3 linked regions of the Danio rerio genome follow. The protein of the gene in region 3 purifies or fractionates together with the protein of the main gene of each other region. This does not show direct contact. Links are inferred from orthologs where the notes say so. Each region holds a gene or a part of one and is shown on either strand. Other genes may lie near its edges.

Evidence for each region. The genes of interacting proteins can lie anywhere in the genome.
Region 1: the proteins of ptges3a (region 3) and fkbp4 purify together in Homo sapiens (affinity purification with mass spectrometry; 3 studies listed by BioGRID and IntAct, with this or other methods). This does not show direct contact. The link is inferred for Danio rerio from reciprocal best matches to the Homo sapiens genes PTGES3 and FKBP4.
Region 2: the proteins of ptges3a (region 3) and egln1a purify together in Homo sapiens (affinity purification with mass spectrometry; 5 studies listed by BioGRID and IntAct, with this or other methods). This does not show direct contact. The link is inferred for Danio rerio from reciprocal best matches to the Homo sapiens genes PTGES3 and EGLN1.

Annotation. Positions count from the first base shown.
Region 1 is NC_133193.1:7,697,214-7,701,200, reverse strand, and holds the start of fkbp4 (peptidyl-prolyl cis-trans isomerase FKBP4), read right to left. Parts: upstream 2,801-3,987; 5' UTR 2,505-2,800; coding exon 2,415-2,504; intron 1,439-2,414; coding exon 1,294-1,438; intron 344-1,293; coding exon 201-343; intron 1-200. UniProt on the Homo sapiens protein: Immunophilin protein with PPIase and co-chaperone activities. Component of steroid receptors heterocomplexes through interaction with heat-shock protein 90 (HSP90).
Region 2 is NC_133188.1:52,996,937-53,001,161, reverse strand, and holds the start of egln1a (egl nine homolog 1), read right to left. Parts: upstream 2,801-4,225; 5' UTR 2,595-2,800; coding exon 1,989-2,594; intron 1-1,988. UniProt on the Homo sapiens protein: Cellular oxygen sensor that catalyzes, under normoxic conditions, the post-translational formation of 4-hydroxyproline in hypoxia-inducible factor (HIF) alpha proteins.
Region 3 is NC_133198.1:29,970,431-29,974,687, forward strand, and holds the start of ptges3a (prostaglandin E synthase 3), read left to right. Parts: upstream 1-1,457; 5' UTR 1,458-1,627; coding exon 1,628-1,629; intron 1,630-3,751; coding exon 3,752-3,865; intron 3,866-4,257. UniProt on the Homo sapiens protein: Cytosolic prostaglandin synthase that catalyzes the oxidoreduction of prostaglandin endoperoxide H2 (PGH2) to prostaglandin E2 (PGE2).

The DNA of each region.
Region 1 (3,987 bases), on a different chromosome or scaffold from region 3:
AAAAAAAAAGAAAAGGAAAGAGACTTATTTTTATTTAAGTACTTCATCATTATTCCATATTACGTAAGAAATTGTTTCAATTACATTTTCAAGCACTTTATCCAAGACCTTAAAAACAGCAGATCCAAATTCAAGCATATTTTTTAAGGATTTCCCGCACCAGTACAAACATTGACAATCTCAGCAGTCTATTACATTACCTGGAACAGAAGAGTAGCATTAGGAGGGATTTTTGGGGGGCTGCCAGCAGCTCCGTATGCATACTCAGGTTTGCATGTCAATTGGCAGATCTCGCCAATCTTCATTGTAGCCACACCGATGTCCCATGCTTTGATCACCTGACCTGCGAGATGGAGCAAATAATTGTCTAAAATTGTTGACTTGGATGCGCAATGATGTTTTGCTTGCATTTACAAATGCATCTGTTCCTATGCCCTGCAGTTTTCTGCCCTTATCTCGAACACAGGCTTGGATTTGTATTCGCCTCAATCTAATCGACAAGTAAAAATATATATAATACCTGCTACATTTCTAGATATATCTTTTATTTTACTTTCAATTCTATCATCACAAATCAGGTATTTCATCTAAAGCAATTTTAAGTAACATAATATTAAGAAATGTCTAAGATGTTTTCATGTTTACAACAAGATAAGAGACATTGAGAATACACCCTTGTGGTTTATTATTTAAGCTTCTGCTATTCATGAAAAAGAAACAAGAAGCTAAATGAAACTACAGAGGTTGCCGAGTACATTAAACATCAAGATGAACAGGTTAATCTGATCACATTCTTACAAACTCATAGTTTCAGGGGAAATGTTGTTTACAGTTTTAAAGTGTGTCAGAAGCTTTACGGCTGTGACATTATAGTTGTGTGTTTAGGCGCACAACATAAAGACAGACAGGTTAGTTAGTCAAGATTATCATCAAGTACGTTTACATGGACACCAATAATCTTATTAATACGATTAAGACAATACTCTGATTAAGAGTCTACCATGTAAACAGCGATTTGATTCATTTAATCTAATTAAGGTCATAATCGATCCAAACAGAAATCGAATTTAGACGTGGAGTATGCTGATTTTAGTCGAACTGAACTTCAACTCTGAAAACTGGACTGACACAGTTTCAATCTACTACAACTTCTATGTTAAGCTGCTTTGACTCAGCCTACATTGTAAAAGCGCTACAGAAATAAAGATGGATTCAATTCATCTAATTCACCTAGACTCTGTTTAAGAGTCAGCGAGGGCGAACTACCATTTAGCGCACTTCACCCTTACTCACCTTTGCCCAGCTCAAAGGAGAACTTTTCCCCTCGATCACGGCTGGAGTCGAACTGTGAGCCATCAAGCAGTGTTCCGACATAGTGCACAAATACTTTATCACCAATCATAGGCAACTCGGTGCCAGTACCCTCCTTCTTGACCAACTGTGGAAGAGAGAAAGAGATTCATCTTCAATCTGTTGGGCACACTGCACTACACCTGTGACCTGTCAATCTTCAAAGACCGCAGGGCAGAAAGATGTTCACGCCTAATGCTTAGGTTAATGACTTTATACACAAATAACTCTTATATGTTTGTAATAATCGAATAGTTTAAGCATACACAGAGCCATATTCCACACAATAATCACACAATAAATAAAATTATTAAGTTATTTAGGTGAATTCTTCTTGAATGAGTTGCACCGAAAGCGTTTAATTATCCCAAACAAGTAATTCCTGTATTTGTATCTGATAACACCAACCTGAGGTTTCCAGAGATTACATGCTTTGATTGCTACTGATTTTAATCACATAAGTTACATGTGTCACTTGTATATTAAACAGAAGCGGCACAAAACTTTGTTTAATTAACATTGCAAACCAAAAGAATTGTAATACTAAAAATAAATAGGAAGATTCACCTAAAAATAAGATTTGTCACATTTGCTAACTTTAACGTTGTTTATAAAACTGAATGGTTGTGCTTTTGTTTACAAAACAATATATTTACCAGTCACCATTCGTTTTAGTAACGTTAGCATACAACAATGCATAATGAAAGTGAACGGTGACCCGCGGCTGTCAGACGCTAATGTCTCCTTTTGTGTTTACATTACAAGGTAAATCATATAGGTTTATGAACACATTGAGACGAAATGAATCAGATCAGAAATATTATAATTTCTGAAGCGAATTCTCTCTTTAGGCGCGGTAGAAAGATCTAGAAAACGCAGCACAATTAGCAACAGGCGTTGTTTATTAATACATACTGTTAAAATAGTCACATTTAAATGCACAACAACAGCTATAGCAGTAGTAAAAGTGCATTAATAGACAGACATATCGTCTGTAACATGCTTTTTAGTCAGTCACACCTCCCACATGGAGTCAATGCGGCTCAATGCCCTGCAGTATTTACCTTTAAAACCCCTCCATCTTTCTTCGGGGTAATGTCTTCACCCTCGATGGGGATGCTACAACCTTCATTCGCCACCTCCTCTGCAGTCATCGTCGCTTTAATATAGGTATCACCTTCAAAATACCACCAAAATACAGACTGAGTCTCCTCGCCGAGGTCTTTCCTTCAACAGCTAACGTGCAGAAATCACTGAAGACTCGACGTCTGCAGGGCTAAACGGCTTTAATTTCGGTATTAGGAGTGGATTTGCTAAGCTATCGCGCGATTGTGGCAGTCAGCGGCCGATAAATGTGGTTTTTGGGAACGCGCAGGGACTCCGCGAGGCGTTTATATAACGATCGGGCCGCCGCTGGAAACTGAATCGACTCAGCGAACTTTCCAGAGCTGCGCGAGAGCGAGGAGACGGCAAAGTCTAGAACTGACTGCAGCGTGAGGGACCGTCGCAAAATTCTAAACCCAGTCATTAGCGGAGAAAGGGATATGCGAGTTTGTGATACAATCAGATTGTAGAGAAATCCAAATGTCGTAATCAACACTCCTATTACAATATGACTATTCTATTTTCCACATTTTCATTTGAATTGTAAAAACTGATACCGTTTTAGCAGTGTATATTTAATAAAAAGGAAAATATCTGTTAGCATTTACATAAAGCTTTATATATATATATATATATATATATATATATATATATATATATATATATATATATATATATATATATATATATATATATATATATATATATATATATATTACCTTCTAACTGTAAAATCTCCCATACTGACATCATATATATGGGGCGTCTGCATATTTAATAACTGAATAACTGACAGTGCACGTTCATTGAAAAGTAAGAATGATTAATAAATCCATATGAAACAGTCCCTTAAAAGTGACACACTCAGGCGCACTTTGCACTCACACTACAAGTGTAACTGCCTAAGCTGTCATGTTATTGTTGATGTTGCTCGGATTACTTGAAAAGTCCCCATTAGATCATAACCTGCTTTGGATAAACACTTCAGCTATATTATTTAATTTAAGTGTATGAAAGCACATATTTTAGTCTATATAATTTTATTAGTTTTCCCAGAGATGGGTTGTGGCTGGAAGGGCATCCGATGTGTAAAAACTTGCTGGATAAGTTGGCGGTTCATTCTGCGGTGGCGACCCCGGATTAATAAAGGGACTAAGCCAACAAGAAAATGAATGAATGAATAATTCTATTCGCTTGTTAAGTGGTGACGTGTTGGTGCCGTATGTAATACTTTTTCCGGGTCCACTCATTTGAATTGACAAAATATTTGTTTATGATCACTTTTTATTCTTATTATACATTAAAGTGAATTTTATATAAAGTTATGGTGTACACAACAGTCTCTGGGCTTGCTGCATCCCAAATTCCAAAATTTTAACAATTTATAAAAAAAAAAACGAATCACTTTCTGCCCATCGGATATTAGGCATGGATCTATATATTGCGATCATGATTTTCGCAAGTATTACAGCGCTTTGAAAATGTTTATCATTACCCTTTCATGAGTCTCCTCATACAGTTTGATAAAGTGAT
Region 2 (4,225 bases), on a different chromosome or scaffold from region 3:
TCTTGAACAATATCTAGTCAAATATTATTTACTGTCATCATGACAAAGATAAAAGAAATCAGTTATTAGAAATGAGTTATTAAACTATTATGTCTAGAAAATAATCTCCTTCAACTCTACATGTTACTTAAAGGGTCAGTTCACCCAGTGTTTATACTATTTGTGTTCTTACAATGGAAGTTAAAGGGTGCTTTTTTTCAGCACTCTTCAGAATATTTTGTTTTGTGTTCAACAGATAAAAGAAACTCATAAACGTTTACAACCACTTGAGTCTGAATAAATGATGAGTAACTGCATTCAAAATACAATTAAATCCAAAACACTACACTAAAAAGTACTGCAAAACTTGCTGGCAATTTTGGTTGCCAGATTGGTTGCAAAATAGATTTATGGTAACTTACTGACAATTTTGGTTGCCAGTTGCAAAATACATTTACAATAACTTATTGTAACTTAAAACTTTACTGTAACTTACTGATATTTTTGGTTGCCAGTTTGGTTGCAAAAATAATTTATATTAACTTACTGAAATTTTTGGTTGCAAAATACATTTACAGTAACTGATTGTAACTCAAAACTTTACTGTAACTTGCTGACAATTTCTGTTGCCAGATTGGTTGCAAAATACATTTACTGTAAGTTATTGTAACTTAAAGCTTTACTGTACCTTACTGACAAATTTGGTTGCCAGTTTGGTTGCAAAATACATTTACAGTAACTTATTGACAATTTTGGTTGCCAGTTTGGTTACAAAATACACTTACAGTAACTTGCTGGTAATTTTGGTTGCAAAATAAATTTACAATAACTTACTGACAATTTTGGTTGCCAGATTGGTTGCAAAATACATTTACAGTAAATTATTGTAACTTTAAGCTTTACTGTAACTTACTGACAATTTTGGTTGCCAGTTTGGTTACAAAATACATTTATATTAACTTACTGAAATTTTTGGTTGCAAAATACCTTTACAGTAACTGATTGTAACAAAACTTTACTGTCACTTGCTGACAATTTTTTTTTACCAGATTGGTTGCAAAATACATTTACAGTAACTTACTGTAACTCAAAACTTTACTGTAACTTGCTGACAATTTTTGTTGCCAGATTGGTTGCAAAATACCTTTACAGTAAATTATTGTAACTTAAAGCTTTTCTGTAACTTACTGACAATTTTGGTGGCAGTTTGGTTGCAAAATACATTTACAGTAAGGTATTGACAATTTTGGTTGCCAGTTTGGTTATAAAATACACTTACAGTAACTTGTTGGTAATTTTGGTTGCAAAATACATTTACAATAACTTACTGGCAATTTTGGTTGCCAGTTTGGTTGCAAAATACATTTATGGTAACTTTCTGACAAATTTGGTTGCCAGTTGCAAAATACATTTATAGTAACTTATTGTAACTTAAAACTTTACTGTAACTTACTGACAATTTTTTTTTTTTTTTTTTTTTTTTGCCAGATTGGTTGCAAAATAAATTTATAGTAATGTACTGAAATTTTTGGTTGCAGGTTTGGTTGCAAAATAAATTTACAATAACTTACTGACAATTTTGGTTGCCAGTTGAAAATGAAATTGTCCTCATCATTTATTCAGACTCAAGTGGTTGTAAACTTTTATGAGTTTCTTTCATCTGTTGAACACAAAGCAAGTTATTCTGAAGAGTGCTGAAAAATTATTTCATATATTAACTATGGCACCTAATATTAACTTAGTAACTGTAATGAATGTGACTTTTCCGATTTTAATATGCTAACTAAAATTTTAAAATTCAATTACATTTAATTAGGTTGAAACATTTGTTTACTCTGAACATTTGATAAACCGTTTTTTTTTATCATACCTGTTCATCACTTATTATTATTCACCTATTGTGATAATACTGTACATGAAAAGCTTCATCAATTCTCTAAAACATGCACATTTGACATCACCATAACCCTAAAATACAGCATGCACACAGTTGACAGACAGATACTTACTTTAGTCCTTCCATTAATTATGTAGTTTCCCAGTTTCCCATTGCAATTCCTGACCAGGTCATCCATGCGGCTCATCAAGAAGCAGATTTTCTCGCATCCAGGCTCCTTCCCCTCAATCCAGGTGATTTTATCCCCCCGTATGTCCTTCGAAGAGTCACTTTTCTGACTGACCAGCTGACCGTCAGTGAATTTACCCGTCTGATGAAGAGCCTTCACATCCTCCAAAATGGACAGTCCCATGTCTTCCCCCAGAAAGTTGTCCACCACACAGATGCCATGCTTGTTCATACATGGGATTATATAATCGGTGGCCAGCTTCTGTGTGTGGGGTTTGGCTTTCAGATCAGCTTCTGAGCTGCAGATCAGGTTGTTTTTCTCTGGATGGGCAGTTTTGGGGTGCTGTTGTTGGGTTTGGGGCACAGTGTTGTGTTTGTCAGCCTCTCTGCAGGTGAGTTTGTGCTTTTTCCAGTGCTCCTTTTGATGCTCTTTGCTGCAGTAAAATGAGATCCTGCACCTACCGCATTTTAGCAGGTTTTCCATCTTCCCACACAGCTCGCAGTACTGCTTATCCCCGTCGGGATCCAGAACTGTCGGGCACTTCTCCATGTCACCGACCCTTTAAATCCGGTGCTTCCACCGGTCAACTTTCACGCACAACGCGTCAGCATCAACATATACGAACGAACAACCGCGTCCGTTCATCACGGTAAGATATTCCCGTTAAATAAACCACAGGGGTCGGGATCGACACCGTGCAGCGCGCGCGCTCCATCCCGCTGCGCTCTCCTCTACAAGCGCGTGGCTGTGTTGCTCTGCGTTCTGCACGTCGCAAGTACAAACCAAACCTCTGACGTCACTGAGGGAGGGCGTGGTTACAGATGTGACATGATAAATACGCCCCGCCTCGCTTCATTCACATTTCACACACTACTGAAGGCGGGAGAAGAAGGGAGTTTGTGTGTTTTGAGAAACATCTGTCATACTCAGAAGGATCTTAAAAATATTAATGTCTTTGTTAGTAGTAAGGAGGTCTAATTGGTAAGGATTTAGAGTACTAAAGCTAAAGCTGAAGGTTTTAGTTATGCTCAGAGGGGGTTTAAGAGAATCGGATTCAGTTGCTTTTGTGAGCTGTGATTAAAATGACAAGATAACTTTAAATGACATATGCCTATATATTATTACCTAAAATGTTTAAATAGTTTATCTCATAGATTACCCTAAAGGTACAAAAGTATATATATATATATATATATATATATATATATATATATATATATATATATATATATATATATATATATATATATATATATATACACACACACACACAAATACATATATACATATACATATATATATGTATATTTATATATATATACATACATACGTATATATACATATATATATGTATATGTATATATACGTATGTATTAAGGGTGGAGCCGAACCCGAATACGGTATTCGGAAAGGCACGAATAGCGTGTTTTTACGAATACTTGATTCGAACAAATACTTGAAATATTATTTGTATTCGGGAGCAAGGAAAACACTATATCAAAAATCAGCGTTTCCTCATGAGACCACAGTGCATGCCCGCGTGAGTGAGTGAGTGAGTGAGTGAGAAAGAGAGAGAGAGAGAGAGAGAGAGAGAGAGAGAGACGCTCAGTGCAAAACGCGCCAAAGCCCGAAACTGAAAGAGACACGTGACTTTTAAGGGGTTGTTTCATATGGATTTATTAATCATTCTTACTGTTCAGTGATCACAAACTGCCGTAGTTTATTAAAGACACAAATCTCTCACTGCACGACAGCTGCGCGCCTTCAGCAGACCTCCTCATTCCTGCAGCACGAGAGCTTTATGATTGTTTATGCGCGCCAAAAGTGGCGGATCTGTCCGGTAAAATATCTGACTGCGTTTTACCGCATCCCTAAGGACTGTTTGGCGAAATATTTGACTGCATGTCACTGCATAACAAACCACTGAAAGGATATAACTTTAGAACTCATCAGAGCAGGCAACGTTTCTCCAATCTTCTATTGTCCAGTTTTGGTGAGCCTGTGTGAATTGTAGCCTCAGTTTCCTGTTCTTAGCTGACAGGAGCGGCACCTGGTGTGGTCTTCTGCTGCTGTAGCCCATCCGCCTCAAGGTTGGACGTGTTGTGTGTTCAGAGATGCTCTTCTGCAGACCTCGGTTGTAGCGAGTGCTTATTTGAGTTACTGTTGCTTTTCTATCAGCT
Region 3 (4,257 bases):
ATATTATTAGTATAATTTGTATTATTTACTTATTTCATTTGTTTTCTGCAGTTCTTTAAGTGTTGTCTATTTATTAGACAGACAGACAGACAGACAGACAGACAGACAGACAGACAGACAGATAGATAGATAGATAGATAGATAGATAGATAGATAGATAGATAGATAGATAGATATTAATAATAATATATTAATAATTATAATAATAAAAATAGCACATTCATCCATCTATATACCTTAACTGTTAAAAATCCGCAGACAACAACCAAAAATTATAAGTTTTTATAAATATTATTATTATTATTAGTAGTAGTAGTATTAATAATAATAATAATAATGTTGATTGTTGTTGTTTTGTTTATAGCAATAATTATTGTCATTATGGCATTGCTATTATTGTAAATAATGTGTCATGGTTATTTTATTATTATTATTAATATTATTATTATTATTAATAATAATAATAATTATTATTATTATAATAATCATCATCATCATAATGATAATAATTCATTCATTCATTCATTCATTCATTCATTTTCTTTTCGGCTCAGTCCCTTTATTAATCTGGGGTCGCCACAGTGGAATGAACCGTCAACTTATCCAGCTTATGTTTTAAGCAGTGGATGCCCTTCCAGCTGCAACCCATCACTGGGAAACATCCATACACTCCCATTCACACACATACACTACAGACAGTTTTAGCTTACTCAGCCAAGATCACATGTCTATGGACATGTGGGGGAAACTGAGGCTCCCGGAGGAAACCCATGCGAATACAGGGAGAACATGCAAACTCCACATACTCCACTGACCCAGCCGTGGCTTGAACCAGCAACCTTTTTGCTGTGAGGCGATTGTGCTGCCCACTGTACCACCATGCTGCCAATAATAATAATAATAATAATAAATAATAATAAATAATAATGATAAATTATTATTACTATTATTATTAATATTACAAATTTTTCATAATTTGTTGTTTTATTATTACAATTATTATTATTATCATCACTATTAATATAACAAATGTCTACTAAAGTATTAATATTATTGGTATCATTTGTATTATTACCTTATTTCGTTTGTTATCTGCAGTTCTTTAAGTGTTGCCTTTATCAGACTGACAGATATTTGTATTTATTTATTAATATTTAATTAAATGCTTTTTATAAAATACATGTGAATGCACATGCACTTCATTCATTTCGCCTAGTGTAGTACGCCTGAGGATCCTGACAAAACAATTTCATTCTGACTCAAGAAAAAGTATGACGTATGATTTGTGTGGCCCTGCATCAGTGGACGTCCTGTACTGTACTGTCAAGGCGGAGCGAGCAGGGGAGCGAGCACTGCGTTACTATGGAGACGTGTTTGCTTAGGGAACGCGCATGGCTGGGGGCGCGCAGCAGAAGTCGCTAGAAACGTTGAGCTGATGCGTCACTGCGCGCCAGTGTGTAGAGACACGCGCACTCCTTGTGCAGGTTGACAGCGGCGCATAAACAGCTATAGCTTCCGTCTGTATGCCTTCACTGTGATCTGACAGCACAAATCCAAAACACTACCCCAGGCGAGAGGACGCGAGAGGAGACGCAGATTTGGGTGAACACTGAAAGGAGAATTCGACATGTGAGTCTGACCGGCAGTCATAGGGATGCACTAACTTTAGCTAGTTAGCAAATGTGTGCATAACCTTTATCAGCGAAACACCAGATTCTCTCTCATACGCCAACTATCATGTATGAACATTTAGGACAATACGAATCTTCCTCGTGAAGAAGCTTAGAATTTGTGTAGAAAAACGTCTAGTGGTAATTGGTGGTGGAAATAGCACACATTGTCCCCACAGCAGAGCTTAGCTAGCTGGTTAGCAGCTAGATAGTTAGGCCTGGGGTTACTGCAAGCTACTATGGCATGATTCTATTCTGTTCATCTATTCATGCTTCATATGCATTATTGTAGAATGTACAAGCAATATATGTGTCATATAAATCAACCTTTTACAGATCAAGGCTTGCAGGCTGGGTGTTCCCTATTGGAAAAGAACATGCTTAAGTCATGTTTGCTGTTTGAACGGGTTTAAGAAGGTATTAATGCCAGTTTATGCTGGTCTTCCATGCTGGAGATCAGTTGGGTGGCTATTTGGCCAACTGAAGGGGTTTAGTTTGTCATCCCAGCTTTACACGACAGGTTTGTGAGATGGTTTTGAGTACTTTCCTTCAGGTCATGCTGGTTAACAGTCTACAGGCTAAACCAGCAGAGCAAGGCTGAAAGGTTTTCAGCTGCGATCAATGATACACCATCTTTTTAAATGCATGTATGGACATGATAAATGCTAAAATTAAAAAATATGAACCAAATCTCCTTTATAAATAATATAGTAATATAATAATAAATGTTCAGCATCTTGTGGTTTCTGAATGATCACGTAAAACACTGAACCCTGGAGTAATGATGCTGAAAATTAATCTTAGAAGGGATAGTTCACGCAAACATTTTCATTTACTCACCCTTTAATTGTTTCAGACATTTGAGTTCCTTCTGTTAGACACAAAAGATTTTTTAAAGAAAGCTGGAAACCTGTAACCATTGACTTCTTGTGCTTTTTTTCCTACAATGGAGGTTAATAATTATAGTTCTTTAAAACATCTTTTGTGTTTAACAAAAGAAAAATACTTAAAGGTTTAACCACATAAGGGAGAGAAAATGGTGCGAATTCTAAATATTTGGGTGAATTATTCCAAGAATCAAAGTTATAAAGTTACTTTTTAAAGCCTTAAAATTAAAAAGTTACTTAGAATGACTGTTTTATTGTATCCTATACAGGGTATCCACAAGGTCTTAAAAAGTCTTAAATCTCAAAAATTTTAATTTAGGCCTCAAATAGTCCCAAATCAACTGAAATATTGTGTTGTATGTCTTAAATCTTTTTTAACATTCTTAATTTTCCTCTGTTCATGTATAGCTTCCCAATCTGGCCATTAACACTCATACAATCACCAACAATCTCAACAAAACTTTTCATTTAGAAATTGCATTTTGAACTAATTTACCATCATTGTTTAATTACTTTCCTTACAGTAATTGTTTTTAAAAAGTTCGCCCATTTATTTACTGCTGAGGATACTGACCACCTGACCTATATTTGTTATTATTAAATTATTATTATTATTGTATTATTAAATGTATTAAATTCTAATTATTTTTGAGAGGGCAAGTGAAAAAATTTTCCAACTGGGATATTCGAAAAAAAAAAATCCTTAGCATTTAGCTTTAAGTCTAAAATTTCCTTCATGATAAAAAGGTCTTTAAAAGTCTTACATTTAACCTAATGAAACCTACAGAAACCCTGCTTATAACTACAGCAATAAAAATAAACTCCAGATTTAAATAGGAGTTATTGTGCAGCCCTTTATTACAGAGGCCTGGTTTTGCTATAATTGTATTACATGGGTTAAGCCTTAGGTAGATTGTTAAGAAGCCATGCATGATCCTGCCAATTGATACAAATAGGTTGCCACGGTAACGTCATTGTTGCTCCACCCCCGCCAGGACCTCCTGCCCGCACATGTTAATTTAGAGCTGCACTTTTAGTGTGGAGTTTGACTTTTAACAAATGCACTTAGCTGGTTGCTCAGTTCCTCATGGATTCCATTAGAATTAAGTGATATTGTGTTTTTGAATGTCATATTAAAGTGGAGTTAGACTGAAGCCTTTTCTAAAACATTGCTTTTCATTTTTTGTTTTGCAGGCAGCCAGCTACTGCCAAGTGGTATGACAGACGGGAAGCTGTCTTCATCGAGTTTTGTATAGAAGACAGCAAAGATGTCCAAGTTAAATTTGACAAAACAAAGCTTGATTTCAGGTACATCCTTGTTTTAAGTTGTTAATAGTAGGCCTGAGTGATTTTGGAAACATTTTACATTGCATTTTTTTCTCTGCGATGTATATTGCGATATAAATTCAATTTCACCAGATGACAGTTATAGCTCTATCTGCAAAATCTTTAGTTTAGTGTGATTGGGATGATTGTGTAGGGGTGTGAAATATAAATATATATTTTAAATGTAATTTATTATATACATATAATAAACAAACTACATTCATATATCAACACAATGGTGCAAAAATGAAAGTAAATTAAACCATGTTTTCTGGAGAGAATCTAACAGTATTCAGGTACAGAAATTAAATAAATGTAAAATGTCAAATGTAAAATAACATTGCATAGTCTTCATTATACAAGTAATTTAATAA